Drosophila melanogaster: one gene and its partner. The protein of the gene in region 2 purifies or fractionates together with the protein of the main gene of each other region. This does not show direct contact. Each region holds a gene or a part of one and is shown on either strand. Other genes may lie near its edges.

Region 1 (15,816 bases), on a different chromosome or scaffold from region 2:
ACTTACTTTCCTTTGGTTTGCGCTGTGGCAGCGATTTTCGATTATCGATTTCGTTTCGTCTTAATTAACAACTACAATTACTATCCGTACCAGTACATTGTATGTAATGTAATCTGCACCTTTCTTTAGTATGTACCAAGCTGCAACAACTAAATAATAACAATACTCCAATTGAATTCCAATTACATTCAGCCACTTGTCGAGTGAAAAATACAAATGCTTGAAAAATCTATGAACCAACAAAACTAGATCTATGTCTACTAAAACCGCATACCTATATCTACTCTATACTCTTATATACTCTTTGACATTTGCGTATGTGCTTCTTGTCACCAACTATACTCCATATACTACTCGTACCAACAACCTATATATATATATATATCAATATATCTATCCAACCAAACGTATACCCATATGTAACCAATGTTAACGGTACTCCGCCTAGTCAACAACTTAGAGCAAAGCCGATCCTGGCTAGACAAACCCCATGGCGAGGCCCCCGAGTTTTATCCATTTCTTGTTCTTGGAAATATTCCTTCCACAGCCGAAACGATTCTGGGTCGCCACAGTACCATGGAGATTCGCTCGGTTCACCTGGGTGGTCTCTTCCACGCCGAGGAGGAGATCCAGATGACCTCCACCATGCCGAACTTTGTGGGTCAGATGCAGGGCTTGGTGTTCAATGGCCAGCGGTGGGTATCGATGTAGCATACTTAAGGAATTGATCTCAATTTCGTTCTCTTCTCACCCAGCTATTTGGATATTGTCAAGAGTCTGGGACCGGAGCTCTCGGCTCTGCCCAGTGCCACCTTCAAGTTGACTGCCCGCTTCGTGAACTCTCCGGCCGGACAGCCCTACCATGCAGCCACGTTCCGCTCCAAGCACTCATACGTGGGTCTGGCCATGTTGAAGGCCTACAACAGCATTTCCATTGATTTCCGCTTCAAGACCGTGGAACCCAATGGTCTGCTCGTCTTCAATGGCGGACGACGCAACGATTTCGTGGCAGTGGAACTGGTCAATGGTCACATCCACTACACTTTCGATCTGGGAGATGGTCCAGTGACGATGAGGGACAAGTCGCGCATCCACATGAACGACAACCGCTGGCATCAGGTCAGCATCAGGCGCCCGGGACCCAAGACGCATACCCTAACCGTGGATGACTCCTTCGAGATTATCAGTCTGACTGGAAACAATATGCACTTGGAGCTGGCGGGTATCCTGTACATCGGAGGCGTCTTCAAGGACATGTACTCGAAGCTGCCGGCCTCGATCTCGTCGAGGTCCGGATTCGAAGGCTGTCTGGCATCCCTGGACCTGGGCGATGCCTCTCCCTCGCTGACCAGCGATGCAGTGGTGCCCAGCTCACTGGTGGTCAGTGGCTGCGAGGGACCCACCAAGTGTAGCCAGAATGCGTGCGCCAACCGAGGAAACTGCGTGCAGCAATGGAATGCCTATGCCTGCGAATGTGACATGACTTCCTACACAGGACCCACTTGCTATGATGGTAATATAAACATTCTACTGTCTTCTTCTTTGATTCATAATATATTATGCTCTTTAGAATCGATTGCCTACGAATTTGGCAACAACAAGGGCATGGTGCAATACACATTCCCGGAAAACGCACAAGCTGACACGGAGGAGGATAATATAGCACTGGGCTTCATAACCACCAGGCCGGATGCAGTGCTACTGCGGGTGGAGAGTGCCACCACGCAGGACTATATGGAGCTGGAGATAGTGGAGGGCAACATCTTCATGGTGTACAACATTGGAAGCGTCGATTTGCCGCTGGGCGAGATCGGAACGAAGGTCAACGACAACGCCTACCATGTGGTGCGGTTCCAGCGCAAGGGAGGCAATGCCACGCTCCAACTGGACGACTACAATGTGCAGGCACTGACGCCACAGAGTAAGTAAACAAGGGGATAGATCAGCACAGGGGGTATCTAATGCTCTACCGAACTTTCTTCTCCAACGACTTGCAGGCCACCACTCCACCGTGTTCAATACCATGTCCAACGTTCAGGTCGGCGGCAAGTTCAGCCGGAACGGTCGCAATCGAATCGAGCGGCCGTTCGCCGGCGTGATTGCCGGACTTTCGGTGAACAAGTTACGCATCTTGGACTTGGCCGTCGAACGCGACCCCCATATCACCATCCGTGGAGATGTTCAATTGGTAACTGGAGTATTAGATAGAAATGATCTGCAGAGAATGCAGCAGGTTAGGGAATTTATTTGAAATTTTATTTGAATTCCTCTCAACTTTCAACTTTCCAAGTATTTTTCTCATCGTAAACCAAGTTTATTCGAAATTCTTTCTTTGATTAAAAACCAAAACAAAAAAAAAAGAAACCAAAATGAAATCTAACCAAAATTGTTGTATTAATCCGCTTCATGAGTTGTGGAACCCCTTTTCCCAAATTGATTTGACATGATTTGATTGCACCACTGAAATTCGAAAACCCATTCGAATACTCGTAATGTACAGTTCCCGAGCACTATCCTGATATTTGAAATGCATATCCGTGTTAATCGTATCGAATGTAACCGCATCTGTACATTGAAGTCATCGTCATCACAATCAAATCCGGGAAATTCGGTTCGACATTCAGTACAAACGTTAACCGTTCCAACTAAACCAAAGTATTAGCTAACTAACTGTATAATCTAGTGTAAATGCTGCATTTGAATTTATGAATTTATGAACTTATGAATTTATAATTTACCTCGGGTGCCTTCGTTTTTTAATGTACCGCTTTGAACGCACCAACCAAATAACAAAAGCCAATTAAGATTTGCCAGATTTTTCACTAACCAGCCATTTGAGTTTCCTCGATTTGTTTCCATTGCTGCACAGCACATTAACCAATAACTGTGAATATATATAATCAGCTATATAAACTGATACGAATTTACTATGCACTAGAATTCGTCGCACTTATGCTGCATGACTCTAATCAAAGCTCACACTGAAACAAAAGCAAGTGATAGCCAGTGGAGAAAGAAAAGTTTGAAGAAAGAACCAATGAAAGAACCTATGGACCTACTCATAAAATTAAATAAATAATAATCTGAAAGAAGCTTCTCCATTGGCTTAATGTGCCCACACCCATCCACACATATATACTTAATCGAACAGCACCTAACAAACTTACTAATCCAGTTAACAAACCCCATACAATAACCATCGCTTGGCCCGGCTGCCGCCAGATCAACTGAAGTAAAATTAGACTTTGAACTCTACTCGACAGACGCCGGCGAGTGGTTATCCGGGTGCGCTGGACGATCTGATCTTCTCGGGAGCCGGATCCGGATGTCGCGGCGACGACGAGGACGAGTGCACGCCGCCATTCGAATCGGGTAGCGGGGATGATCTCATAACACCGGTCTACGTGCCGCCCACCAAGCAGACAACCACGTCCCAGCAGGGGAATAGCTTGAGTACCGGCGGGAGCAGCAGCGGCGGTGTCATCACCAATGGCACGGAGCGTGCCTGCGACGACGAGGATTGCGTCCATGGATCCGGGGATTACGGCGAGACCACGGAACAGTTCACCTCGACGAGCACCGCCCGCGGTTCAGGTGAGTGGCTACAGCGTTGTGTGTTGGTCTCATTTTGTCATTGGCATTTGGATCAATCACGGAAAGACACAAAAACAACAAGAATCTACACCAAGCACACACACACGCGCACACACTTCATCACAGACATTAGCTAGCCCCACTCGAAATTCAAGTTAAGTGTACGCCATTAAGTATACGCCCTAGTAACGTAGATAACGTGTTAACGATTAAGCTGTGGGTTCAATTGTGTTCGAGTTGAAGTTGAAGTTTGAGTTCGAGTTCGAGTTATACTCTATATATATATATGTATATTCGAAGCTCTTGCTCTATATAACCGCATAACCGTTTAGCTAGTGACGCTTTGCCTTTTTCAGTTCAGTTGTTCAATGCTCCACGGAGATCGAGGAAGTTAGGTTATTGCCAATGCAACGCCAATGCTTTGAACGCTTACACAATAAAACAATATATATATATATATAAATATATATGAATATATGTTCAGATATCGCCTCTATCGCACCCCTCGCAATGCATCAACCCAACCAGAAACCAAAATCAATCAACTCGCCGTGTCATCTCAGCTCAGATCAGCCCAGAAAAAACAAAAAAAATATATATATATGAAAAGTATCGCAACAATCGTCGCCTATATCCTTCATCTCCACCTGTTGCCGATGATCGATTGCCTTCTAATTTGAACTGACAACGAGTACGCCTTATGTGTCTCTTTCAGAATGTGAAATCGCCTTCATATTTCTGACTGTGATCGCGCCATGGATACTCTGTAAATTCCCATAAGCAAACAGCAAACCAATGCAACCAATGCAAGCAATGCACTTAGGCTAAGCTTCCAACTAGACCTCTGTCTAACTGTATGACTAACTCTAGCATTAACGAGAGCTAAACCACCAGCAACAGCAACCAATGCAAATAACAAATGCAACTTCAACAGCTACAACAACAACAACTATAACAGCCAGAACCACAACAACAACAACCACACCGATCATTGGCGAGGGTTTTTGGTTGAGTGAGGGTTAAGCGTTAAGCGATAAGGGTTAAGTTAAATGCACCCACCACCTTGCATATATACCGTATATACATATATGTATAGTATATATGGGTGCACCGATCGAAGATGTATATGTTTTGTACATAGTAGCGATAAAAGCAGCGTCTGCAAGTGTAAGATGTGATTTTCCCAGTCCAGTTCCTTATTCACCATCTCCTCCTCCTCCACATTTATTCCCTCGATTGCATAACTCTACCGTTCTTCCAATTCCAATTTGTACATATCGTGCGAATAGATCGAAGGTCCAGCACCCAAAACAACAATGACACACCTCAACATATCTCTCAATATCTACAAATCTCTAATCCTCTCTAACTGTGTTGAATAAACTATTGAAAGCAAAGCACAACTGGCGGTTCAAGTGATTTTTGGGAGGGAAAGATGACTCAATTAAAGGTTTCCGAAGTAAGCACTTTGAATCAGGATTCCGTTTATTATGATTAGTTTCTAAAATTCTATAATAAATTCTTACATATTGGAAGAGAAATTGTGAACCCATGGAGAAAATTTAAAATATCATTTATTCCTTGGGGAATAATGGGGTTTTAAGAAATATCGAGGGTAGCAATGCAACCACTAAGCGCACAAACACACTCGCAACAAACATACAAGTATAGAGCACCCCACTTGAGAACACTTGAATAAACCCAAACCGACTGCTTGCAGAGTCCAACAACGAGATGGTGACCATTACCACCACGGGACGCAGCGATGTGACCACGGAGCAGCACCAAGGCAGCAGTAGCAGCAGTAGCAGCGGCAGCACTCCGTCCTACGCAACCACGCAGTCGAGCAGCAGCAGCAGCAGCGGCGGATCGGCAGCCAGCACGCCGGGTCAGGTGAGCACGACCAGCAGCGTGGCCACATCGTCCACGCAACGGGCGACTAGCAGCAGCACCAGCACGAGCAGCAGTACAACTTCGACGACCACGACAACGACCACCACTCAAGCCACACCGCCACCGGAGATCCGGAGTACGGTCACCGAGCGGGAAACCACGCCCTATGATATTTATATAGCTGGTGGCGGCATGGGTGGGTCCGGGCGAAATGATCACGATCGCATGCAGCTGCCGGACGAGCACCACCCACTGCCACCGTTGCCGCCACCCATTCCGCCGCAAGATCCACCTCCGTACGGACCTTATGGCGGCAACACGTACAACACCAACATGAACAACTACCGTCCAAAGGGTAAGGGCGGCAGAATTAACTCGATCGAGGAGGAGCGTACCGCCATGATAATCGGCATAGTGGCGGGCATACTGATCGCAGTGGTGCTGGTCATCCTGCTGGTCCTGTGGCTCAAGTCGAATGGCGATCGTGGCTACAAGACGGAGAGCGAGAAGGCGGCCGCCTACGGTTCCCACAATCCGAATGCTGCACTCCTGGGAAATACTAGCACCAATGGATCGTACCACCAGCAGCGGCAGCACCATATGCATGGTGGCGGAGGCGGTGGAGGTGCAGGGCAACAGCAGCATCATGCCCAACAGCAGATGCACAATGGGCACAATGGTAATGGAAATGGAGGAGGCGGCGGCGGTGGCGGCATGATGTCCAGCGGAAGTGGGTCACTTGGCTATGGCAGCGATGGGCGACCCCAGATGGCGGGCCTGGTGCAGCCGAAGGCCAAGAAACGCGACTCCAAGGACGTCAAGGAGTGGTATGTGTAAGGCGGCATGGTCGCAGGGAAATATCGTCAAATTAGCAATTAATAGTGCAAAGTGAGCCGAAAGTGAAAGTGAAAGTAAAAGTCCCCCTAAGATACGAGAAACAAAAAAAAAAAAAAACACACACATAAGCGTATATAAATATATTTATTTAGCAGCCTCGTAACGTTAATTAAACAATTAGAAGCGGACGCAGTCGGACATTGGGTGTACAAACGGAAACGGAAGTGGACGGAAGGATAATAATATGTAGATGGCGCCTTGCGCAGCTCGGTAGGTGGGCATCACGCGATTCACGATGGCTGATAACGTTAGCAGCAAGCAGATAGAGCAGATAGCCGGTAGCAGATAACCGATAGCAGATAGCAGATAGACACGCAAATACTTTAGACAAGTGCATCTGGCCAGGAGCATTGGTTCACAGCAAAGGTAACGTTTAGATTACGCCTAAGAAATTATAGCTTCAACTCAAGACTTGCTAATAGATACCACTACCACTGGAGAGCAGCCACAACCATCAGCGAATAAGCAAATTACACTAAACGTATAAAACTATATATATTATATATATCACAGCGTTACGATAAATTATGCCACTAGCCAATCAAGTAATTGTGTAAAATATTTCGCCACAAAGTATGCTATGAAAAGATCGAAGGAAGACGGCCCAAAACCGAAAGCAAAACTAATTAAACTGCAAATCTTCTAGCGAAACCACTAAACAATTTAGCAGAAATTCAATATAAACGTACTTAAATATATATATTTATATGTAAACGTAAAGTAATGAGGTTCTGAGTGGGTTTTTTCTTCGCGTGTAAAGTTACAAAATGTGGTGCTGTAAACGTAGGAGACAAACTTTGGTTGACTACAATAATAGTAATAATAATAATAATGATGACGGGGAATGCAAGAATTTATGCTACAGATTGTTTGTTGAATTGAAACCGGCTTTAATTAGTTAAAATGTAAATGAGATAGTGGTAAACCTAAAGGATAACGAAACGAAATCAAACACGATAATACGGAGGAAACAGTAGAAACCCACGATTTGGTTGACATATACGTGATGCGACTTTTTCGTTTGCGTGCAGCAACTCGATGCTACTTTGAGTTAGTCCCTTCCACTCCCGAGCCCCACACATATACTTTTTATATGTATTTGAGACTAAATATTGTCACCGATCTGCGTGCAATATGAACTCAGACATATCAAGGAAAAGACAAGACACACACACTAGCACACTTACACACGAAACACTCTAACACACACGCAAAATTCGAAGACACTGAAGCGAACCTACCTAGCTTTTCTACAACAACTGCTATTCAATGTGAGCGAACATTACTTTACCGTCGACTAATGAGGAAATCAAGCAACAATTTTACAGTATTATAGCAGCTTTAAGCGTATTTTTCGAAGCCCACGTGACGTATACACAATCAGCAGTCACCAGCACACTCACAGCTTACACCCACATACTATTACACAAGCACACATACATAGACGCGAAATTCGATATTCAGCAAGCCGCCATTAAATTCTGTATACATATTAATAATCGCATATATCATTTTGATGCGCTATATTAAAATTTTTGTCTCACTATCAATACCAATTAGTGTATCATTTTGGATTAGATATACAAAATACCTATATACACTCGATATACTACTACTAATACACGCACACTCACCTCACTCACACAATCACCAACTCACGCATTCGATCACTAGCGAAATTACTGGACATACTTCTCTCGAATTCTTAATGGAAACCAAGGCAAGGTATGCTGTAAATACCTAGGAAAGTACTATATATACATGAATATATATATATATATTTAACAACTAAAAAACATATATATACTGCATTTCAAGAAACTTTTGATATATTTTCGAGTTTTTTAAACCCTTATCTTGTATACAAAAAGGAAGCGAAAGCGAAAACACGAGACAAACTAGCGAATCTAGCTGAAATGAACACCTAGGACAATTACAATTACAAGTACATAGCGAAACACAGTACATACAGTACATACAGTACAGTACAGTACATAAACACAACTATATATACAGGACATACACGCATACATTCAAACTATACTATTTATAAATGTACATCTATACAAAATATACATACATGCATACCATATAACGTACGAGTATGTTTAACGATCAATGATTATTATTACGAATTACGTCCCTTCGATTTGATAATGAAACCAAACGAAAAGAAACCACAAATTTTAACGCTGTTGATAACCAAAACCATTCCCACTTATAAATGTAACACTCTCTCCCGACAACTTTCTCTCTATCTCTTCACAATGTTAATGCTGCACAATGAAAACTCTGCATTTAAAGTAAACCACTAACGTTTATTCGTTTCGATTCAAGAGAAAACCAAATTATATATAACTAATTATACAAATTTGCCTTGCGATTTAACAGCGAGCACACGATATTGAATCCAAAATCCAGATGGGGAGCTTAAAATATCCGCGATTAAGAAATCGAATCGACACGCCCTCAAAAGCAAGATCTTCTTCATTGTTTCAAAACGAATTACATTTTATTAAGATCAAAACCAAATCAAGGTAAATGTTATGTATGTATGATATAGTGGGAGGATCGCGAAGGACGAGTACAGTTAGTTGTATGGGTAAAATAACATAGTTAAAGCATATAACTTAATAGTTCAAGGATCGGAGGAGCAGCGATTGCGAGTGGGAGCGCATATAGAGGGGAACGATCGCAAGTATCGGAACTAAAACTTACTTCTACTTAGGCTTAAAATCATTGTTATCTAATCTATACATATATAAAAACCGACATACAACACCCCACATATAACAGAGAATATGTATATGAACATGTATTGGATGCGCGGCGCTTGAGCTGTGCCTACTTATATATATATAAATATATATATATTTAACAAATTGTAACGTGTATATGTAGCGGCAGTGATTGTTAAAGAAATTGCTTTGTTTTGTGTTAGATTTTATAATTTACGAGAAAACCAAAAACAAAAATTGTAAAACGCATACAAATACAGAATGACTGACAAAACACAGAATTATAACATTGCATATAATAAATACAATAAAACTATAATTGAAAAACAAGTTTGGTTAATGCTTTTTTGCTGAGTAAGATCTGTCTTTAAACTCAAAAGATATTGTAGATTCAGAAGTCACTGATTTTTTTTTTAAATTTTTACTTCGCGCTTAGTACTCGATAACAAATCGTCGGCGGGACTGGACTACCGACTATTTCAACGAATCATTCGATTCCCGATTGCTTCCGTGAAATCGATATTTTCTGACCCAGCTTCATGACATCCCTGTTGAGTTGAATACGCAAAGGTGGCAACCTTATACGGCGACTGAATAAAATAAAAGTGGAATTGTAAATTATAAGTGTAAGCACTAGCAATGGCTGCCACCCCAAGCGCACCCGCCAAGTCCGAGATGATCGACCTGACCAAGTTGAGTCCGGAACAGCTGATTCAGATCAAGCAGGAGTTCGAGCAGGTGCGTTCCGCATGTGGGTGTGTGATGAGTCAAGTGTGCTCGCGGAGGGGGTTTCTGGAGGAGGGGCGCCCCAATTGGCACATGCTTCTAAAATCGGTACATTTTTGTGATCCTTAGGAGATTACCAACGTACAGGACTCGCTGTCGACGCTTCACGGCTGTCAAGCCAAGTACGCCGGATCCAAGGAGGCGCTGGGAACCTTTCAACCCAATTGGGAGAACCGTCAGATCCTGGTGCCCCTGACCAGCAGTATGTATGTGCCAGGACGGGTCAAGGATCTCAACAGGTTCGTCATAGACATCGGCACCGGCTACTACATTGAAAAGGTGATTTACATTTCCAATCGAACCTAGAATATTTATTGATTGCCATCTGTTTCTCAAACAGGATCTGGAAGGCTCCAAAGACTACTTCAAGCGACGCGTGGAGTACGTGCAGGAGCAGATCGAGAAAATCGAAAAGATCCACCTGCAAAAGACGCGCTTCTATAACTCAGTGATGAGTGTGCTGGAGATGAAGCAGGCTGCTGCAGCGAAATTGCAGTCGCAGCAGCAATCGCAGCCGGCGGTTACCCAGAGCTCCTAGACTACGGAGAACGACAGAGACACGAGACACGGAAAGCATTAAATTATTAAACTTATTAACGAGATGTGTGCATTTAATTAACGTAGTTTATTAAATTGTTCAGCTATTTCTTGGCTTCTGCCAAAGCCTTGGTGAGAACCTTGACCTTCTGCTCGTACGCGGACTTAAGATCCTGTAGGGAAAGAAGGTAATAGTATATCAAGTATATCATTGGACTCGAGTTATAAGGCACCTTGAATATCTGTGACTGGGTGTCGTACTCCGAACGCAGCTTGTCATACACTCCTTTGGAGATGGCTAGTTTCTTCTCCGTGAGCACACACTTGTCTTGCTCCGCCTTGATCCACTGCTGGCTCTTCTCCAGACGAGCCTGCGTGTGATCACATTCGGCGGTCTTTAGCTGCAACATGTCCTTGGTCACCTGCAGCACATCCTTAATCGAGTCTACTTGTGTCCTAAGCACTGATATCTGCTGCTCCTGCTGTTTGTTCACCTTGGTCTTCTCGAACAGCAGGGTTTTGGCCTTTAGAAGCAGCTCCTCCTGCTCTTGTCGTGATTTGGGAGCATCTGTGCCGCCCAGCATGACGGACTGCTTGAGCGACTGCTCCAACTGGACCACTCTCCGCTTTAAACGCTCATTTTCCGCCTTGGCTTCCTGCAATCAGGGTCAGTAAGTGGGTGCAGCCCGTGGAGACGAGTAACTAACCTCAAAGTCTTTGCGGAGCGCTCCGATCCGTTTGCGAGACTCCTCTAGTAGTGCCTGTTTTTCGCTTTCCAACGTGAAAACCATGTCCAGCAGTTCGTTCTGCGGCTGCTCCGGCTGACGCACTTCCTCCTGCCCATTTGCTGTTATATTGTTGTTTAGGTCACCGCCAACAGCTTCATCTTCGTTATGATCGGCCATTTTATGAAGAATTCTTTTTAAATGATAAAAATTCGTAGAGCAATGTGCGTTTTCCGTGCTTTTTGGGATGTGTTTTCTTTTTGTATTAATAGACCAAATAGATGCACGCTCTATTTATAGGACATCCCACTCTCCGGATCGCTCTCTGCCTGCTCTTGGCCAGATCGCTCTCCCGAAATAACAAACTGTTTCCCTCCAATTTAGTTTACGCCTCAGCATATTCTGAAGATCAGTTTATTATACATTGAAGCATGGATGAGAAAGGATTGCGGATGTGCGGTGTTAATACAGATCGCGAAGGGCAACACAATTAAATTGTTGTTACAATCAATGGGGCGACAATTGAAAGTGAGTGATTTGATTAAAATTAAATGCCTAAACAAGATAGAAGAAATGTGCTTCGCTCGCGGTGAAGAATGTCTAACCGTCCAGCTCGCCGGCAGCGCATGCATCGGCGTAACTCTTGCCGCTCTTGTCCTCCGGATTCAGCTTGATCATGTCGTCAATACGCAAAATGGTAATGGCGGCCTCCGTGGCGAACTTCAGCGACTTGATCTTGGACATGGCGGGCTCCAAAACTCCAGCCTTCTTGTTGTCCCTTACCACTCCCTCGATCAGATCCAGACCGGTCCACTTAAGATCCGAACGCTCGGGCTTCGTCTGGCTGGAGTTGTGGTAGGAGCGGAGCTTGGCCACTAGATCAGTGGCATCCTTGGCCGCGTTCACGGACAGAGTCTTGGGAATGACCAGCAGCGACTTTGCGAATTCGGCAATGGCCAGCTGTTCGCGGGAAGCCAGCGAGGTGGCAAAGTTCTCCAGGTAGATCGACAAAGCAGCCTCCACACAGCCGCCGCCGGCTACAACCTTCTTGCTCTCCAGCACACGCTTCACCACGCACAGAGCGTCGTGGACGGAGCGCTCCATCTCATCACAGTAGAAGTCATTGGGACCACGCAAGATAATGGATGCGGCAGCACTAAAAAGGCATAGGGATACGATAAAGCAAACTATGTTACTGCATGATATAATCTGCACTTACCGTGCCTTAGTGCCCTTGATGAGGATAAGTTCATCATCGCAGATGCGCTCCTGGGCCACCTCTGCGGCCTCTCCCACCATTGAGGCATCGAAGCTCTCCTCACCGTCCATGTTGGTCAGCGAGGTAATAAAGGCGGCGCCGGTAGCCTTAGCAATGATCTTCAGATCGCTCTTCTTCACACGACGCACAGCCATGGCTCCAGCCTCAACGAAGTACTTCATGCACAAATCATCAACGCCGCCGCTAACCAGTACTACATTGACACCGGTTCCGAGGATCATGTTGATGCGCTCCTTGGTAATGTCCAGCTCACGGGCACGAATAGCCTCCAGCTTGTCGGGATCATTGATCAAGACCTGGACACCCATCTTCATCTTGGTCTTCTGCAGCGAGAAGTCTAGGCAGGCAATCTTGGCGTTCACAATCTTCTTGGGCATCTGCTGGGAGGCAATTGTGCAGTTCAAGGCATAGCCGGGAATCAGCACCGATTCCCTGGCAGACTTGCCATGGGCCTTCAGGACATTGATGGCTTTAATCGAATAGGCTGCCTGCCCACGGGGATCTGTGATTTTCACCGACTGGGCAGCGTCCACAACCATGGCTGAGAAGAACTCTGCGTCAGCACCAATGATCTTGGAGCTCATCGAGGTCTTGGCAATGTTAATCAGGGAATCGCGGCCCAGCTCATCAACGGGAGCGGTCAGATGCTCCGAGATGTACTTGCAGGCCTCCTTGCAGGCAATGCGGTAGCCGGAGATTATGGAGGTAGGATGAATCTTCTGCTTGACCAGCTCGTCGGCGTTTTTCAGCAGCTCAGCGGCCAGGATAACCACCGAGGTAGTGCCATCGCCGACCTCCTCGTCCTGCAGCTGAGCCAGCTCAACCAGGACCCTTAAAATTTAGAAATGAGTACTTCTTTGAAAGATTTCCCACATCAACAACTCACTTGGCTGCCGGGTGCTCCACCTCCAGCAGTCGCAGAATGGTGGCTCCATCGTTGGTCACTGTGACATCGCCGATGTCGTCCACCAGCATCTTGTCCAGACCCACGGGTCCCAAGGAGCTTTTCACGATGTTCGATATGGACAGAGCGGCCATAACTGAAAGCATATAAAAGCCGAGTTGTAGTCATAACCTCACTTCGCATAGGCTTGTCCACAGGATCTTGTAGCTCCTTGGATTCAATGAGTTTTTTTGTTAATCCAATTAAAATAAGATCGCCCTCCCCCGGGTTGGTTCCGGAACATTCTTCGTGGAGAGCGTGACCCGCGATGAGTAAGAAACGTGCTCCGCCGGCAGACGCACCGCAGATGTTGACAAAACCCCGGGATTCTCACCGTTCTGTGTGCGCACCGATGCGCCGGATTGGCGGGTGCCAGCAATGGACAGAGGAGAGGCCAGGGTCGACATTTTCCTAAGTTCTTCCGCGACTTTTAATAAAAAACAGATAAATCAAATACGCTGAAAAACCGCACGTTAAACCGCCTGACTCACTTTAAGACTTCGAGATGAACAAAAACCCGATGTCGATTCGATACTATCGAGTGCAAGATTTTTTCTTGGAGAGCAAGGATTCCATAACATTTATAAGTTTATACTATGTGTTACATTAGCGCAGCATCAAAAATATATAGAACATATATTGGCTTATTTATTATTAGGCATATTTTGCAGCACATTCAAAGCGGCGTTCAAAGTATCGATGGTAATCGATAACCGATTGTTTAGGGAACCCTGGTTGAGCATCAGGTAACGGTTTTTTAAATATTAATTCAAGATTATTATTAATTATTAATTATTAATTATAAAATTGTGCTTTCTGATGGAGTAAAAGTATTCAGTAGGCATTGACTTTGATTTCGCATTACATATCGTGTGCTCTGTAAGATATTTTCAGTTTACCTCTTGATCTCAACGATATACAGCCCAAATCGAAGCATTTCTTACATCTACAACAAATTGTTAAAGTAAACATTTTTTTTAACTTTTATTTATTACGATAAAGATGTCAGACTGCGGAGCGCGCCCCAAAAAACCCATGAGCGCCTTCATGTTGTGGATGAATTCCACCGGGCGGAAGCACATAAAAGCGGAGCATCCCGATTTTAGTGTCCAAGAAGTGTCTGTGAAGGGCGGAGAGATGTGGCGAGCCATGGCCGATGAGGACAAGATCGTGTGGCAGGAGTCGGCCACCACGGCAATGGCCGAGTACAAGGAGAAGTTGAAGCAGTGGAATTTCCCCAAGGAGCACCGCTTTTCGGACACGCAATGTATTTGTTCCTCAAATACTAACCAATGCCCCACCCTTTTTGTGTACGACACCATGGATGACTCGATGACTCCGATCTGCAGGAAGTGCTTATCAAAGACCAGGTGCCTTCACTAAGCGTTTACTACATTTGTTAATTTATTGTTGTACTAAAATCCACAAGCTAATATAAATTTGTTTTTGATAAATTTAAATATTAACACTTTTCGTAGCATACATACAGAAGCGCACCATCAGCCGAAAATGCTTGGCTGTACTCTCCAAGTTTTCCATGTCCTATCTCGCGGGTCTTGGACCAGTATGGCCAACAAAAATCTGTGAAAGCACTTTGCTGGCGGCTTGTTAAAAAAGAGGGAAAACGAATGAAAAACTCGCTAGCCATCAGCGTTTCAACGGTTTGGGGTCCTTTTTTCATAGTTACCTTATTGAATTTTAAAGATCGCACAAAGTATGCCGTGTTACATGCATAATGAGTTACTATAGTGGCTATGGCCTACGAATACGAACGGCTGGGAAAGTGAAAACGTGATTGCATGGCAGGAACATAAATTAAAACTTTGCCTTTTAACTCAATTAACAATGTGGTGTGCGCAGAAAAAAAAGGGAAAACAGTGAAAGTTATTTACTATTTTTAATGGAAAGTTATTTGTAATTACCTACTCAAACTGGCACTAATTAGCGCGAGTTTTTAACTTTTCTTACTTTCACAAAGTTCGCGGAATTAATCCAGGCTATACAGTATTTTTCAGCAGCACATTCAAAGCCACCTTACAGATATTGCTGGAAACCGATAACCGATTGTTTTGGAAGCCCTGGTTGAAAATCATGGTAACGCTTTTTTAAATACTAAATATTGGTGCCTTAAAAATATGCCCTATAATAAATTAAAACTATTCAGTAGGCATTGACTTTGATTTCGCATTACTTATCATGTGCTCTGTAAGATATTTTTAGTTTCGTCTGGATCTCAACGATATTCAGTCCAAATCGTAGAATTTCTTACATCTACTACAAATTTTCCAATTAAATTTTTAAAGTAAACATTTTTTAACATTTATTTATTACGATAAAGATGTCAGACTACGGAGCACGCCCCAAAAAACCCATGAGCGCCTTCATGTTGTGGATGAATTCCACCGGGCGCAAGAACATAAGAGC
Region 2 (15,987 bases):
AAATATGTGTAATAGTACCATTTCAATATGAATAATTTATTAAATTCAGAAAAAATAGAGAAGAGTATATATTTTTTATAGACTCATTAACAAAGCTTTGTAACCAACAATTTTGGAAATAAACCTAAACATGAATCAACCATTGTCTACAAACTCATATTCTTTCCATCTGACAGAACCCCAGAGTGAAGGCCAATGTCAATTGCGAAGTGACTGACTTGGAAAGTGGAATTTACAAATCCACACTGACGTTAGTTTGCTCAACGCGCAAACGTCACCGATGGAACACATGTGCCACCGAGACTTTTAGCAGACGGTGGGTATATATACCGATGCCAAGTAATGCCGAGATCAGTTCGAGTCGTTAACTATCAGATAACGAAATGCGTACCCTTATCCTTGTTACTCTTGTTGCCCTGGTCGCAGTGGCCTCCGCCCAAGGACCTGGTCCTTGGGGTCCCGGTGGACCTGGTGGACCTGGTGGACCAGGTCGTGGTCGCGGAGGACCAGGACGTGGACCTGGCGGACCAGGTGGCCCAGGAGGTCGCGGACCTGGAGGACCTGGAGGACCAGGAGGCCCAGGAGGCCCAGGAGGACCAGGAGGACCAGGAGGCCCAGGAGGACCAGGATGCCCAGGAGGACCAGGTGGACCAGGAGGCCCCAAACCATGGGGACCTCCATCCAACCAAACCACATCCACGACAACTGAGGCCTCAACAAGCACTTCCACCACGACAGCTTCGTCCACTACAGTGTCCTCCACTACAGAGTCCTCTACGGAATCCTCGACGGAATCATCCACAGCATCCTCCACAGAATAAATCGCTTGACATGTTCCCCTTCGAGTTTTGCCCATTCGGCTATTCCGGGTTCATAAATAATTGTATATATCAAAAAGCGAATCTGTGCGTAATAAATTTTTTTTTTTAGCTCAATCGTGATTTTTTTATCTAAGTTAATCCTTGAATGCCAAATAGTTATCCAAAGGATCTTCATCCATGTTTGGCTTATGATCAACTTGATGTATCAAGCCAGAAGGTACATGCGAGTACCACGCGAGCCATTTAATTACTTCGGCCAATACTAAAACTTTTCGTGAGTTAAGTAATTTTAGAACAATTAGTTAAATGGCATTATGCAATGCCAGTGCTAAATTATCCACTGGCGATTAGGAAGTGCATTGAGAATTTGAAGCAAATCATTCCCCGGGCCAATTGGAATCGAACTTATTCGAGCCGGCCTCGTTTCTCGCTTGGGTGAAAGCCAAATTGTTTACCAATTAAGTGCATTTGGTCAATTTGCGACAGAACTGGCGCTAGTGGAATCCAAGAAGAAGGTACAGAAGCTTAAAAGGATGAGCCCGAGGAGCAGCAACTGGATTAGGAGGCATTAAAAGTTATAAAACAACAAGATTATGGCTTTGCCATAACGAACACACACGCATTCACTCAACTGGTTATGTGCCAGTGAACAAAGGCGTTTAGGGTGTCCTCTAATAAATACTCTTGTTTTCAGGATGTGTTTCCAGGTCTACGGTTTCTTATAAAAAGAAATTTGAAAAAAAAAAACACTTTAATGTATGTGTATGAGTAACGTGCTATTTCTCAGTTCTGGTTACTTTAGATATTGAATATAAGCCACTCCAAAATGTTGCATTCTTGGATTGGAATGATATGTATTATACAATAAATTGTATGTGATAAGGAACGATTGAAGTGTATATGATTGTGACAGTTTAAAGCATTATGGCTCATTAGTATTAGCATGTAGATAGCATGTAGAAGAATTTGTGTATATATACATATATACATATACACATACATACAGTATGTACATTCGCTTCTGAATATATAAAGTATATATATTCTTGATCAGAATCAATAGCCGCCCACAATTTTTTTACATTTTTATTAGTCTTGTAAATTCCTATCGATGTACAATAAAAAACTTTTTGCCACGACCACTCTAACGCCCTAAAACCGCACAAAACTGCCACGGCCACATTTTTGAACCATTTTTCGATATTTTATCGAAAATAACTCTACGAACTCGACTATAAGATTCCCTCTTGTTTTTATGTCGAATGCTGTAGCGGCTTATTTTTGATTGAAATCTGATAATTTTTCCCCCCTTATATATTGTTTAAGTAGACAACCTGGTCGGCAGTGGGCCAACGATAGTTGTCTTTTCCTCAATTACCACCAGTTACGTCCTTATCAAATCACGCTTCATCCATTCAACAATTAGCACCGATAACTAATTTATGGCCAGGATGCCGCATTTGGGATACGGTTTGGTGAAAAGGGGCAAACGAGAAGCGAGTTGATTGTTTTGAAGTGGAGCATTTACACGTAATAACAATTACAAATTCGCGCGCTCCATAAATCAAGTGAAGCCATCTTCTGGAGGCGCCCCTCCATACCTTCCGTACCCATTTCAAATGAACTGGCCAAAAAAACCCTCCCCAATTCGGCTCCAACTGGCTGCTCCTGGGCACTAATTACAATTCAGGACGCGTTGCACTCGAAAGTTGTTGCTCATTCAACACTCGACTCCTGGAGTTGAGTGGTGAAGTCGCATGGGGGGAGGTGGCTGGGCGGTTGGGCGGTTGGGCTGTTGGGTAGTTGGATGGGTTGGGTGCCTGGGCTGTGGGTGCTGGTGGGTGGTTAACTTCAAAGTGTCATCGCCTCCTGGATGGCTATGGCCTCGAAAAGTGTTGTTGTAATTAAATTATGTGCCAAGTGACGTTCTCACAATCGTTCTCTTCTCCTTTTCGCATACACTCAAACAATAAACCTAGTTAAATGGTTAAGAAAAAATGTATTACTATTACACCTGACGCAATAAATTAATTTTAATAGAATGGTAAAATATACTACGAAATTTACACTATACATCAACCTAGTTAGTGCACATAAATATATGAATGTTAAACGGGTATATTTGAGAATGTTTACTTACCACAACCGCCGAGACCTCTAATTTCCCCGAGTACAATACAGGATGGCATTCCCGTGCTAGCCCTCCTTTGGCCCTCTGCTGTCGTCCTTTTGCTATCTCCTCAGATGTTGTGGCAAATTAAGTTTGCTTTTGTTCTAGATTAAAAAGGCATTGAAATGTCGACATCGAAGGGCGGTGGGTGGCAGCCGAATGAGTGGGTGGTAGTAAGCGGCAGTTAAAATGACGCCTTCGGCCAAATTTAGCTAACTTTGTTAAGTTTGTTTTGGCCGCGGGAGCCGAGTGTCGGACGCCGCCTCCGAGTACCTTCGCCGGATGATGAAGTGCCCAGACGGCGATGGAACCACAGATATAGCCGGGTGCGGATGATGGGGGCTGCCAAGACGGGCAGAAATTAAAAATCAACTGCCGCGTGGGCGAACAAGCCGAGCACTTAAGTAGCTGACCAACTGAGTAATTGAAGGAGCTAATTGAAAACGAAGGGATAAAGGGATAACGGAGCTCAGGATACAGAGAGAAACGTTAGGATTACATTACTGTGTGCTTTACTTTACTAGTCAACTAGTCAACTCTAAATCGGGAAACCTGGAAACCGATTAAAAAATTGCGCGGTAGATTCTCGCAATCATAGATTGATCATAAATCATTAAATCATACAGCTGAGTGGAGTCAAAAATAATAGTCAACTTAAAAGCGAGATCTGTTGAATAAAACTAATTCGAAATGAAATTTTATATAAAGAAAAAATGTTAACAAATATATCTTAACATGTATGGCAACTTTATTGATATTTAATAAATGCCTATATTCCTATAAAAAAAAAAAACTAGTTTTTTATGCGTTAAATAATAGCCATCACATCACATACTAATCCAAAAACTTGAAGTCATTGGAATCCCTTCAGCCTTGCTAATATGGAATCCTTTATAAATGAATCGAATCTAATTAGTACAATCTAAAACCATATCCTCAATGAGTTCCTCGAGCCAGTTATACTGGCCTAATACTATTAACCATCTTAGATCAAGTGAGTGAGTTAAGTTGTGTATGCACTTAGACTCGCTTAATTTCTACAAGCAGCTCCAGCTCGACTTCAATAACCATCGTTCCTGATGCCAAGCCAAGAAGCTACTGCTTAATACTGATTAGATCAGGCTCGCGACGTATTAGCACATAACTGCACCAGAGAACCCACCGACACTGTCCCAGATCTTGGTGTCTTATTCGATCATAGGATCTGGATCAATGTAGAGCGATCCATAAGTAATCCACCAATGGCTCCCATTTCTGGCCTCCGAAATCCGTACAGAACTCGTCACAGTGTTCTCTTCCTACCCAAGCTCATTAGCGCTCCTGACACTTGCCACCTGGAAGGTGACTAGCTGCCGGATACAGCCGTCAACATTCCTTACATACATATGTGCATGTTGAATAACTTCAGGTTTAAGGCATTTTGAGTTTTAAATAATTACGAATTTATGATGACATTAAATTCCAATGCAATTATGCATTTCGTTCTCAGTGTACCTACCAGTGTCCCAGTGTCCCTGTGTCCCAGTTAAAATATTAACTTCTTCTTTTACGTTTTAGATTGGAGCTGTGCAAATTTGGCCTACAAAATGAAACTATTTTACATGCCTCGCCTGGTTTTATGCCCACATTCCAGGCGCTTAAAGATCTGCCTGATTATTAAATTTAAATTCTACAGAAGTTGACACCCAGTGAGTGGCCCAGTGTTTGGATCAGAGCTGGTGCAGCCCACATTAATCAAATACATGTATTGCAGGTGGAGTGAGTGGCGGCTGGATGTGCAGTGACAGGACTGCATGCTAATGCAAGGACTCGTCCCAATTCACATGCAGACCGAACCGGACCGGACCGGTCCGAATCGAAAATGAAAACGAAAACGAAACAAAATTAAAAGCTGCAAAAAACAATATACGAAATATATACACTCCACTAGCTCGGCAGGCTATTCAATTTGGCATTTCGAATTCCACGCACATATTCCATTAAAGTCGTTGGCGTAATTTTAATTTCGGATTTGGTCCTTTTTCCCCGGAAGTACACCAGCAGCAGCTAGAGAACAGCAGCTGCTTTAAGGACCTGTGCTAAAAAGACGGCAGAATGTTAAAGGAGCGGTGCCAATCAAATTGAAATTTAATTTGCAAAACAATGTGGACGCAGGACGCAGGGCTGGTGCGGAAAACTTGACCGGCAAACGGAAAACACTCGCCCAAATTATGAACCCCCTTCTCCAGGCCCTAATCCCAATCCCAATCCCATCCACCTAGTCGCCGCCCGTTAGCAGTCCATAAAATTGTGATTTACTCCCGTTGAGATTTCAATTACTGCCGCTTTATTGACAATAAATTTTCGTATAAATTAAGCGGCCCAGCTCCCGATCCAATTCGATCCGATCCGTAAGGGTTAAGGTTAAACAAAGCGGCCAGTAGCCGCACGTAGACGTCGCGGAAAGGTGAAGTCGACCAGGAAGGGTCCTTGGGGTCAACGGAGAAGATGGCAACCAATTCAAAAGACCGAATTCCGGTTACCCAGTGGTTGCGTAGGTCCGTGGCGTTATTTGTGTTTGATATGAAAGCATAGCGATTGTTTTATATTTTTTTTTATATTTCATAAAGGCAAGAGTTTTAAAAAGAAAATCTGTAAAAAAGCTGACAAATTACATAGATAAAAGTAATTCAGAAATAAAAGCACACATCCCTTTAATTTATGTTTAGTGCAAGTAAAAACTCATTAGTCCCAAAACAGTTAGTTCAGTTTTTTGACTATAGAGTCTATCCTTTTTAATAAAGACCTTTTCAATAAATTAATATGCCCCTGGCCTTTTCCAGGATAGCAGGAATAAAAATTGATTGCCATGCAAATAAAAATTCACCGATTTCTTTAGGCACGTCCATGTCGTCATGGTCGCACAGTGGGCGAAATAGCCCATCCGGCACGCATAATTTAATAACTTCCTAACGATGAAAGCCAACATTTATTATGAGATATAATGAGATTAACGATTTCCAAGCTCAAACACCTTTTATTACATATTATCCCTAAAATGTTTTTTAACACCATTAACATTAGTACGCCAATCAAAATGTTTATAGTAAGCAAATAGTTTAAGACAAGGTTTTTAACAGCAGATAAATTCCAAGAATTCAGCTGAGAAACTAAAGATATAAATCGATGTAATTATAGACCTTGTAGTCACAAACGTTTTACCGCTCAGAATTAAACATTTTTTTTAAATACTTATCAAATTGGCCATTTCGACCATTCTGCGTTATTAGAAACTTCATTGACGACTCTCAAAATTCTCTGCCCAGACAACATTGTTTTTGTTTTGTTTTGTTTTGTTTTTTACTTTCCTCGCTTTCCTGGAAACGCGAAAATATCAAAGCCGCTTCCGAGACTGCCAATCACAAAGTGCCGCGGGTGGGGCCACAGCCCATCAACTTCCGCTCCGGGTAAAGCTAACCAACCTGACACCTTAGAGGACAAGGAGCATGGCACATTAAGCTTATACATACAGGCCGTAACAATGGTTTCGAGAACATTTTAAGCTAAGCAAATAATATATGCATCGATAGGTTGAGTTTGGTTACAACAATCTTCACGAGAGTCGTAAAAATAAAAGAGATATAGGAATTCTAAGGGAATTACAATTTAACAGAAATAAATGCACAAGAACTAATCAAATTATGTCGTTTGAACTAAACGAAAATATAATTCGGAGGCAATATAAAATGACATATTCATCTTGAATTCGACTGTATACGAGTGTTTTTTGTGTACATAATCCTAGGCTTATCACAAAATCTTAGTTTCCAAAACCACAGCATCCTATAGATACTGCGAGTCTGCGTAAAGGTCGCGGAACTCAAGCAGCTGATCCAGCGCCGTATCGTACTCATCCCGCTCCAATCCAGAATTAGAGTACGCTTGCAACTTGGCCAGCTGCACTCGATGCGATTGGGCGTGCACATTGTCCAGATGCTCGCCCAGCTTGGTGGAGTTCTGTACGGCGGCCAGCATGGGTGCCGAATCCACACGACTACCCGTCTCGCGTTCCGCCCCCTCAGGCAAGCGGTAGCCATCGCGTGATATACCGGCTGCAAACATTTCATAAGGAAAAGGTAGCTGTGTCTTTAGTGGCAGTGGTGTGGCTGCCGCATTTGTAACACTTCCATGATAGGTGCACTGGTAGTATAGCTGCAGCATATGGGATATACTATCGCAGCTATAGGCAGCCATCCGAAGTTGATCGCCGGCCAGCTCCCTGGGCCGTTTCAAACGTTCCGCGGGAATGCCACGAGCCGTCACTGATTGCACCACGTAGGATGTGCCAGGCTCACAGCCCGGTGTGAGTTGTGTGAGCAGCGCGTGGTCGCCACTCTGGTCTAGAAACTCTATCAGATCCTGACCCTCCCTCAGCCCAAATGGCAGAGCCAATCCAGCGGCGGTCATCTTTCTGCCCGCTGGAGTGACGCATTCGCAAAAGCGTAGCAAAGATTCTGGCGTTTGCCGCAGGCGGTAACTCAAGGTGGCCGTGTCGAAAAAGGCGGCCAGCAGCGCTGATGTCTGGTAGAGGTTATCCGTCTCCCACTGGAGTCCCGGCAGACTGCGCGACTTCAGATTATTGTTTCGCCAGATGGTCTCCAGCGTGGATAGCGGCGTGAACATCAAAGCCTGCTCGCTGAGTTGGTGGTAGCCCAACACATTGTTTACCACCCGAATGCTGTGCGACAGGCGGGTATCTGGGAATTGGGCAAACTGTGTTAATATGCTAGATTTCTTTAAAAATCACCTTACTTACCCGCTTGGGGATAACTAGTGATCCTGGGATAGTGAAGTGGCAGCGCGAAACTCGCCCGGCTGTACTCATCGTTGAGGTGCTCCAGGCACTTCCCAGCCAGTCCGCCGAAGCCATCGTCAATGTCGAACAGCACGTGGAAGCCCTGCAGGCCATCGCACTCCTCTACATACAAACGGATACGATCGCAGAACTCCTCGTTGAAGGAGACTTCCTGCCACATTTCTGTTCCGGCAGAGTAGGTACCCAGGGCTTGGGCAGTCGGATCTCGGATCAGCCCCGGCAAGACATTCAAGGTTCTCGGGTGATACCTGGCGTAAAGGAAGTCCACCCAACTGTTTGCCGTCGCTGCCAGCTGATAGTTCTTCTCGGGCACCACAGCATTCTTGAGCAGATCCCGCTGATATTCGGAAATGGAGGCCTTCGACTGCTCCTGCACTTCCAGCTGCTCCGGTGAGCATACGCCGCTCTCCTCTGCCCGCTTGCGAACCTGTTCCAATTCCTCTCCGGTGCTCAGGGGCAGCAACTCCTCATCACGCTGCACAAAATTGCCGTACAGCTCGCCGGTCACCGGCAGATGTCCCAGGGTCCCGGACAAATCCACGGACAGCAGGCGGGGCGTGTAGGTGGTACGATTGAGGTCGTTGCGCCCTTCACGGTACAAAATATCATTGTTGGGCAGCTGCTCCTCGGCCACCTGTTCGCTTTCGTCTCCGTACCTAAAGTTGGCCTCCTGGAAATGTGTAATTCGTGAGGCTCCCGGCTGCCAAGTGGGTAGGACAACTCACCTGCTGGTTCCAGAAGTGTGTGCCCACGTAATTCGCGTACGTTCCGAACTGGAAGGTCAAAATTTCACGTGTATAGTCCATAACAGCCGGCGAAAGTGACTAATTCGGATGCAATTGCGCGAGCCCGCGGAACTATCGATTTTCGCGGATATATCGATAGCTGTGTGCGGTAATAAGCGTTCTTAATTTCGTTGATTGGATACTCTGTATTAAAAATAAATATATTTAAAAATATTATTTATAACTGCAAAAAAGATTTATATATTTTGAAAGTTTTATAGGAATATGTTATGTTTATTAATTTTACTTATGTATGTAAATATATCGATATGACCTTAATGTCTATCACATTGAGAAAAAAAACATAAGAAATACGAGGAATTTTTACAATAGAGCATAACAACCTTAATATGTAACCCGCAAAAGCCGATTGCAAACTTATCAAGTCATACGGTAAAATCTCAAAAAAGAACGGTAGCGTTTGTGGCTCCAATTGTTTAGTTATTGGATTGCAACGGATTTTATTTTCGGTCGATACGGTGAAACCTTATAAATAGGATCTCCGAAAGAAGAAGCTATAAGTCGGCTTAAACGTATTTTTAAAGAAATTGTCGATTCCCATAGATTCACATATCCATTCAGACGGAGGATAAATAAGTCAGAAAAGAGCGAATTATGAGATTTCTCTAATAAACTAGAAAAGAAGTTAAGGTGCTATACAATGTTAAGTTAAAATATTTAATTGCTGATTTTTACACACGTTACTCGTAGAATAAAAGGGTATACTAGATTGTGTAACAGGCAGAAGGAAGCATTTCCGACTATTTAAAGTATATATATTCTTGATCAGGATTAAGGATTAGGAGCCGAGTCGATCTAGCCAAACTTTATAAATTTTTTCTAATTTTATTCCCCAATTAGCTATTGATATCCCAGAAAAATGATGAAATTTCGCGTTCGCATTCACACTAGCTGAGTAACGGGTATCTAATAGTCGGGGAACTCGACTATGGCATTCTCTCTTTTTATTTATTTAATTTAATAAATGGAATATATTAAATTTTTTTTAAAGGTATTTGCTTACCTTTAAAAGTAGATTTCAATAACTGTTTAATTCAACTATCGATAAGCCGATAAAGTCGCCGATAATTCAATGGACCGATGCCTCGCTCTTTTTCTTGTTGGGCCAGAAAACGTGCGCTGCGCATTTTCCAGCGTTTTTTTTTATACCGTCGCCCACCATGAGCCAGATGACCCAGAAAACGGTGCAATTCCACGAGCTGGAGCTGGATCAGCGCATCCTTAAGGTGAGTGCCCGGCTTGCGACCGACAGTTCCAGATTTTAAAGTGTTGCGCTCATCTTTCAGGCGGTGGCCCAGCTGGGTTGGCAGCAGCCCACACTTATCCAGTCGACGGCGATACCGCTGCTTCTGGAGGGCAAGGATGTGGTGGTGCGCGCCCGCACCGGATCCGGCAAGACTGCCACCTACGCCCTGCCACTGATTCAGAAGATCCTTAACTCCAAACTGAACGCCAGCGAGCAGTATGTGAGCGCTGTGGTCCTGGCGCCCACCAAGGAGCTATGCCGGCAGTCCCGTAAGGTGATCGAGCAGCTGGTCGAGTCCTGCGGCAAGGTTGTACGCGTGGCGGACATTGCCGATAGCTCCAACGACACGGTGACCCAGCGGCACGCCTTGTCTGAAAGTCCCGACATTGTGGTTGCCACACCCGCCAATTTGCTGGCCTACGCCGAGGCTGGTAGCGTGGTGGATCTGAAGCATGTGGAGACCTTGGTGGTGGACGAGGCGGATCTGGTGTTTGCCTATGGCTACGAAAAGGACTTCAAGCGGTTGATTAAGCACCTGCCTCCCATCTACCAGGCTGTCCTAGTCTCCGCTACTCTAACCGACGATGTGGTGCGCATGAAAGGCCTGTGCCTGAACAACCCGGTTACGCTTAAACTCGAGGAGCCGGAGTTGGTGCCGCAAGATCAGTTGTCGCACCAGCGCATTCTGGCTGAGGAAAACGATAAACCGGCTATCTTGTACGCCTTATTGAAGCTGAGACTCATACGCGGCAAGAGCATAATCTTTGTGAACAGCATCGATCGGTGTTACAAGTGAGTAAACCATACGAATCCCGCCTTAGATGCACAGGAGCCAATGATGATTAAACCACAAATGCAGGGAGTGGGCAGCTGGCAACAGTTGGCGCACGCATGACCAGCAACTAATCTTCTCGCTGACGGCATTCCCATCCGCCCCTAAATACTTACTATAATTCGTTCTAATTATTACCCATTTAAATGTTTCAGGGTTCGATTGTTCCTAGAGCAGTTCGGCATCCGTGCCTGTGTCTTGAACTCCGAGCTGCCTGCCAACATTCGCATCCACACAATTAGCCAGTTCAACAAGGGCACCTACGACATAATCATTGCCTCCGACGAACATCATATGGAAAAGCCAGGAGGCAAATCAGCGACTAACCGAAAATCTCCTCGAAGCGGCGACATGGAGTCGAGTGCTTCCCGCGGCATTGACTTTCAGTGCGTGAACAACGTAATCAACTTCGACTTCCCCAGGGATGTCACGTCTTATATCCATCGGGCTGGCAGGACGGCTAGAGGAAATAACAAGGGCTCCGTCTTGTCCTTTGTCAGCATGAAGGAGTCCAAGGTAAACGATTCAGTTGAGAAGAAACTGTGCGATAGTTTTGCAGCCCAAGAGGGCGAACAGATCATCAAGTGAGTATAGAATAACATCTTCAAAATTGTAATATTGCTAAGTGTGCCATCACTTCAGGAACTACCAGTTTAAAATGGAAGAAGTTGAGTCCTTCCGTTATCGTGCTCAGGATTGCTGGCGGGCCGCAACTCGCGTAGCTGTTCACGACACTCGAATTCGAGAGATAAAGATAGAGATCCTCAACTGCGAGAAACTAAAGGCATTTTTCGAGGAGAACAAACGCGATCTGCAAGCGCTTCGGCACGACAAGCCTCTGCGCGCCATCAAGGTACAGAGTCATCTCTCTGACATGCCCGAGTACATAGTGCCAAAGGCCCTGAAGCGAGTGGTTGGAACGTCCTCTTCCCCTGTCGGAGCCTCGGAAGCCAAACAGCCACGACAGTCGGCCGCCAAGGCTGCCTTCGAGCGGCAGGTCAATGATCCTCTGATGGCTAGCCAGGTGGACTTCGGGAAACGGCGTCCTGCCCACCGGAGAAAAAAGAAGGCGTTGTAGGGTAGCAAATGGTATCTATAGTCGCATTAGTCAATAAGGAAATAAAGTTAATATTGTTAATGTAAGCCAAACATAAAAGCGGCCGTTGAAGATGTTTGGAATTTTAAAAATGTTATTTTACCCTAAATTAGAAATGAGTAAAATTAAACGAAAAATATACCTATGTTGGAGATAGCTGCAGATTGACAAACCCAGGTTATTTTCTTTATATATATGAAAATTCTGTTAATTTAGAATTTTGTAATAGGGCTGTAAAAATAACCAATTGCACATGCACATTAACAATGTAGTTTGTTAACTCTATCGATGATATATATATATTTATTTGCATGCCCGCCAAATGTGTATGTTTGTACTTATCCAGCCGATAAGCAAGTAAGTGAATGTCTTTTTAAACTCAGAAACTTGACAAGTATATGCTTAAAACGGCCGCTGTTCGGGTGGCGGTAAGTGGTAACCACTTACCCAAATAGAGGCAGAAGGCACTATATCATTTGCTCAACTTTTCTGACAGCGGACGGAAAATGAAAATAAAAAATATCTACGAGTCAGTCACATTACCCAAAGTGCCAGTAGTTCCGTAGGTCACAGCGACGATTATGCAGCAGCTGGATACCATTTAAAGTCCATTACACCGAGAGTCCCAGGAAAAATAGATCACCATTAGGGGCGAAATATAAGCGATGCATGCGTATTCGTTTTTAACATTTTATTATTGTCATTGAAATAGTTAACATTCATACAATTATTTATTCATTTATTTATAGCGTTTATGCAATACAATAATAATCATGAGGGTAATAATGAAAAACTAGTCGGTTCGATCTGCGCGGCTTAGTATATGGCCAAGTCTGACTGTCTATATCTGTTGTTGTCTGAGAAATCGAAACGCGAAATCAGATATGGATATTGAAACGTATTGAAAATAGGGGGAGAGTTTTTGTAGCGGGCTCTAATCCATCGACTATCATAGTAATGACTTTTATAATATCGCTCCGTTAAGTGCTAAATTAAACGTAAACATTTAAGTTAATTTAGCATAATCGTAATAAAACTCGCTAGGTTTAGGTATAGGTATGCGCGGTTGGCTATCCCAGGCTCCTATGAACAGTATTATTTGACTATTTTAGATCGGATGGCCACGAGATGGAGGAACAAATGCTCTGCACACTCCATAACTCGCTGCCATTGCTCTATATAAATATATAGTTTATGGTATAACTTAGGGAAAACGAACATGAAATCACATTGCAAATGAAGAATGGACAACTAACAACTGATAAACTGATACTGAGGAACAGGCACAATCACGAAGTTAATGAATCTAGACTAAAATGCAGCCATACACATACATGTATCTATGTAGACATATCTCTATAAACGTTTGCTCTCATTATATTGTATATAATATGTATATACCATACGTTTTATGCTTTATTTGTTACGATGCTAAAAAATGTTCGCTTCAATTCAATCCCCTTTTTCAAAATCCTCGTTGTGGAAGTCCCACATTCGCTTTCTTACTTTTTTGACGTTTTTCAGTTGGTTTTTTTCTATTTTTTTTTTCTTTGTAACACACATACAGAACTTGTTTAGATTATTGTTGCAACATGACGTAAAAATATACATATTTTCATCAAAAATTACCACCGCTCAGTGCTACCGTCTCTAATTGAAGTTGTTTGTGGGCGAAGAAGGTCCTGCGGATTCGCAGGACAACACATTGCCGCTCTTTTATAGGATCTTGGTATATACACAAGTTTTTATATATGTATATACTTTGAATATACGGAAATTTCGTTAGAGTAATAAGAACGACAAAAAAAAACATTAAAATAGGTCCGAAGCGATCGATTTCCTGGCGATATCCTCAGCCGGATATAATTGGCAACCGATTTGCCGCCTCAGGGATGTGTGTGGGTGAGAGTGATTCCATCCATCTAGGCCAGCTTAGATGGGCACGTAATTGCCCTTGGGCTTGTAGAACAACTGGCCACGCATCAGACGGCGCCGAATCTCGGAGAGCAGCAGGCGTTTTTCCTTCTTGATCTTCTTGAGCACACCCTTGTTCTCCTGGGCACGACGAGACAAGTAGGGCAGCACCTCTTCGACTGGGCCATATGGTATGTACTTGTACGCCGAGTATCCCGCTTGACCTGTTGGTTTGAAAGAACACATATTATAAACACATGGAAGACAAGTGAAAGGGGTAGGCTATGGAAACAGACCCAGTGGAAAGGTAATGTAGTCGCACATGCCCAGCAGTTGGCCGAAGCAGATCACCTTGTCCTCCGGTGAGATGCCGATCTCCTTCATCTGCTGGATGGCAAATCGTACGGTGTCTTCGTTGTGCGAGGCCACCATAATACCAATCTTCCTGGCATCGTCATCACAGTCCTTCATCAGCTGAGGTTATTAATAAATACTTGGTTTATTTATAATCACTTATAACCAAAGTCCACAAATTCCCACCTTAATGCGTCGCAAGCACTCCGACAACGTCCTGTGATACATGTCCGTGGTGGCCTCGAACGTGGGATTTACCGGATCCGGGTAGCCCAGCGACTTGGCACGGTCCCGCTCCTGGTCCATATAGGCACCGCGCACCAGCTTGGCGCCGAAGTAGAAGTTCTGGCGCTTGGCCTGCTCCAGATCGGTGTTCACCTCGCGGAACGTCTCGCGCAGATAGCACTGGTACGTATTAAAGACAATGGCCTTGTCCTTGTTGTACTTGCGCATCATTTCCAGGGTGATACGGGAGATGGCCGGCTGGAAGTAAGTCTGCTCCGCATCCACCATGATACGCACATCCAAGTCCGCAGCAGCCTGAGGTTTGGAAATACCATATCAGTACGATTTCACAGCTAGAGTGAAAAAAACCATTTACCTTTACAATCGTGTTGAGACGACGGATCATGTTCCTGAACATCTCCTCCTCCTTGGGCGGTATTTGTGAGATCAGTCGACGCATCTGTCCGGTTTGGGGATCGGGAACGCGGAACGTGTCGCTCAGCTGCGAGTCCTCGTCAACAATGCCCGACCAGGGGAACAAATGCAAAATTCTAGATGAGATAGACGAGCATATAAAGTCAGATCGGTAAGAGATTAGATAATATAAACGGACTAACCCCTCCTTATCGGACGTTACATTGTTCAGGAACTCCTTGACGTCCTTATTGTCGCCCAGCGTGGCGTAATACTTTTCGAGATCCTTGATGGTCTTGTGGTGAGTCAGCACATTGCCCTGACCGCCCACCATATCCTCCATGTACTTGCGTGTGCGCATGATTACCTCGGACAGTTGCAGCTGCAAAGGAGGATCGAGGTCATCAGAGTTCATCAGTTGATAAACAAAAGCATATGTATGATTTAGATTTACAATGCTTCTCTATAGTATGGTAACATTTTAAGAGTTTTGATTTTACAATTTTAACCGCAGCAAAAAGTGAAACGTTTACGAATCAGTGGCCTTTACTATGTATCTATTAGCGTCAATTAACTGTGTTCATTTCCCATTTATTAACACCTATTAACCCCTGTGTTTCCCCCACAAATAAAGCTAAGCTACTCAATTATGTGGTTCTCAAGGGGATTACTTTGTGCGAACTTACCAGCAATTGTGGACGGCCCAGGGCGGTGAGTTTAATGGCGGTGATGCCAGTTCCAAAGGTGGCGCCTGCAGGTCGATATTCGGATCAATCGATGGTTGGTTGTTGGAAATGAAAAGCGTTTGGAAAAAGAGCAGAGCAATTGGTGAATGCAATGCGATGGCAGAGGCGAAAGTTGGAAAGCGGACTCTACAGTCATATAGCACATATGTCTAACTACGGCACATAAAAGCGTAAAAAGCTACGGATACGAGACGAGTACGAATTGAGCTGAAGACACAGAGATACGAAGCAACGACAAAACCTACGACATTGCATTACAGCAACCAACTGAAAAAGCATACGAAATGGCTAGAAAGTCAAACTAGTTTGCTTTGCTCGCTCGAAATACGGATTTGGCCATCAATGGTTACTCTTCCGGGTATTTCGGTTACTTGTTGGCATTTTGGGATGTGTCTTCGTTAATTTCTCGGCTTACCCGTGGCCACTGCCCGGGGCGCCTTGCGATCATCATCTGTTCATATTAGCATTCGCAACGAATTCAAATTGATTATGAGTTTTTGAGTTATGT

What was found.
Region 1: the proteins of mst (region 2) and CCT1 purify together in Drosophila melanogaster (affinity purification with western blotting; one study listed by BioGRID). This does not show direct contact.

Annotation. Positions count from the first base shown.
Region 1 is NT_033777.3:22,477,533-22,493,348, forward strand, and holds CCT1 (chaperonin containing TCP1 subunit 1), read right to left. Parts: upstream 13,908-15,816; 5' UTR 13,884-13,907; exon of another isoform or gene 13,820-13,883; 5' UTR 13,800-13,819; coding exon 13,727-13,799; intron 13,490-13,726; coding exon 13,336-13,489; intron 13,281-13,335; coding exon 12,390-13,280; intron 12,327-12,389; coding exon 11,771-12,326; 3' UTR 11,573-11,770; downstream 1-11,572. Other genes in the region: Nrx-1 (neurexin 1), read left to right, coding at 548-695, 756-1,513, 1,571-1,921, 1,998-2,233, 3,243-3,594, 5,315-6,324; Pfdn5 (prefoldin 5), read left to right, coding at 9,762-9,860, 9,978-10,187, 10,249-10,446; CG5376 (uncharacterized protein), read right to left, coding at 10,550-10,618, 10,679-11,101, 11,153-11,350; tHMG1 (testis-enriched HMG-box-containing protein 1), read left to right, coding at 14,395-14,775; tHMG2 (testis-enriched HMG-box-containing protein 2), read left to right, coding at 15,484-15,486, 15,731-15,816. UniProt on the Drosophila melanogaster protein: Molecular chaperone; assists the folding of proteins upon ATP hydrolysis. Known to play a role, in vitro, in the folding of actin and tubulin.
Region 2 is NC_004354.4:21,381,677-21,397,663, reverse strand, and holds mst (misato), read right to left. Parts: upstream 8,688-15,987; 5' UTR 8,653-8,687; coding exon 8,572-8,652; intron 8,517-8,571; coding exon 7,787-8,516; intron 7,728-7,786; coding exon 6,814-7,727; 3' UTR 6,131-6,813; downstream 1-6,130. Other genes in the region: lcs (la costa), read left to right, coding at 384-821; Ddx56 (DEAD-box helicase 56), read left to right, coding at 9,813-9,878, 9,939-10,690, 10,886-11,314, 11,373-11,808; slgA (sluggish A), read right to left, coding at 13,759-13,964, 14,037-14,214, 14,281-14,634, 14,696-14,870, 14,937-15,115, 15,420-15,484, 15,895-15,930.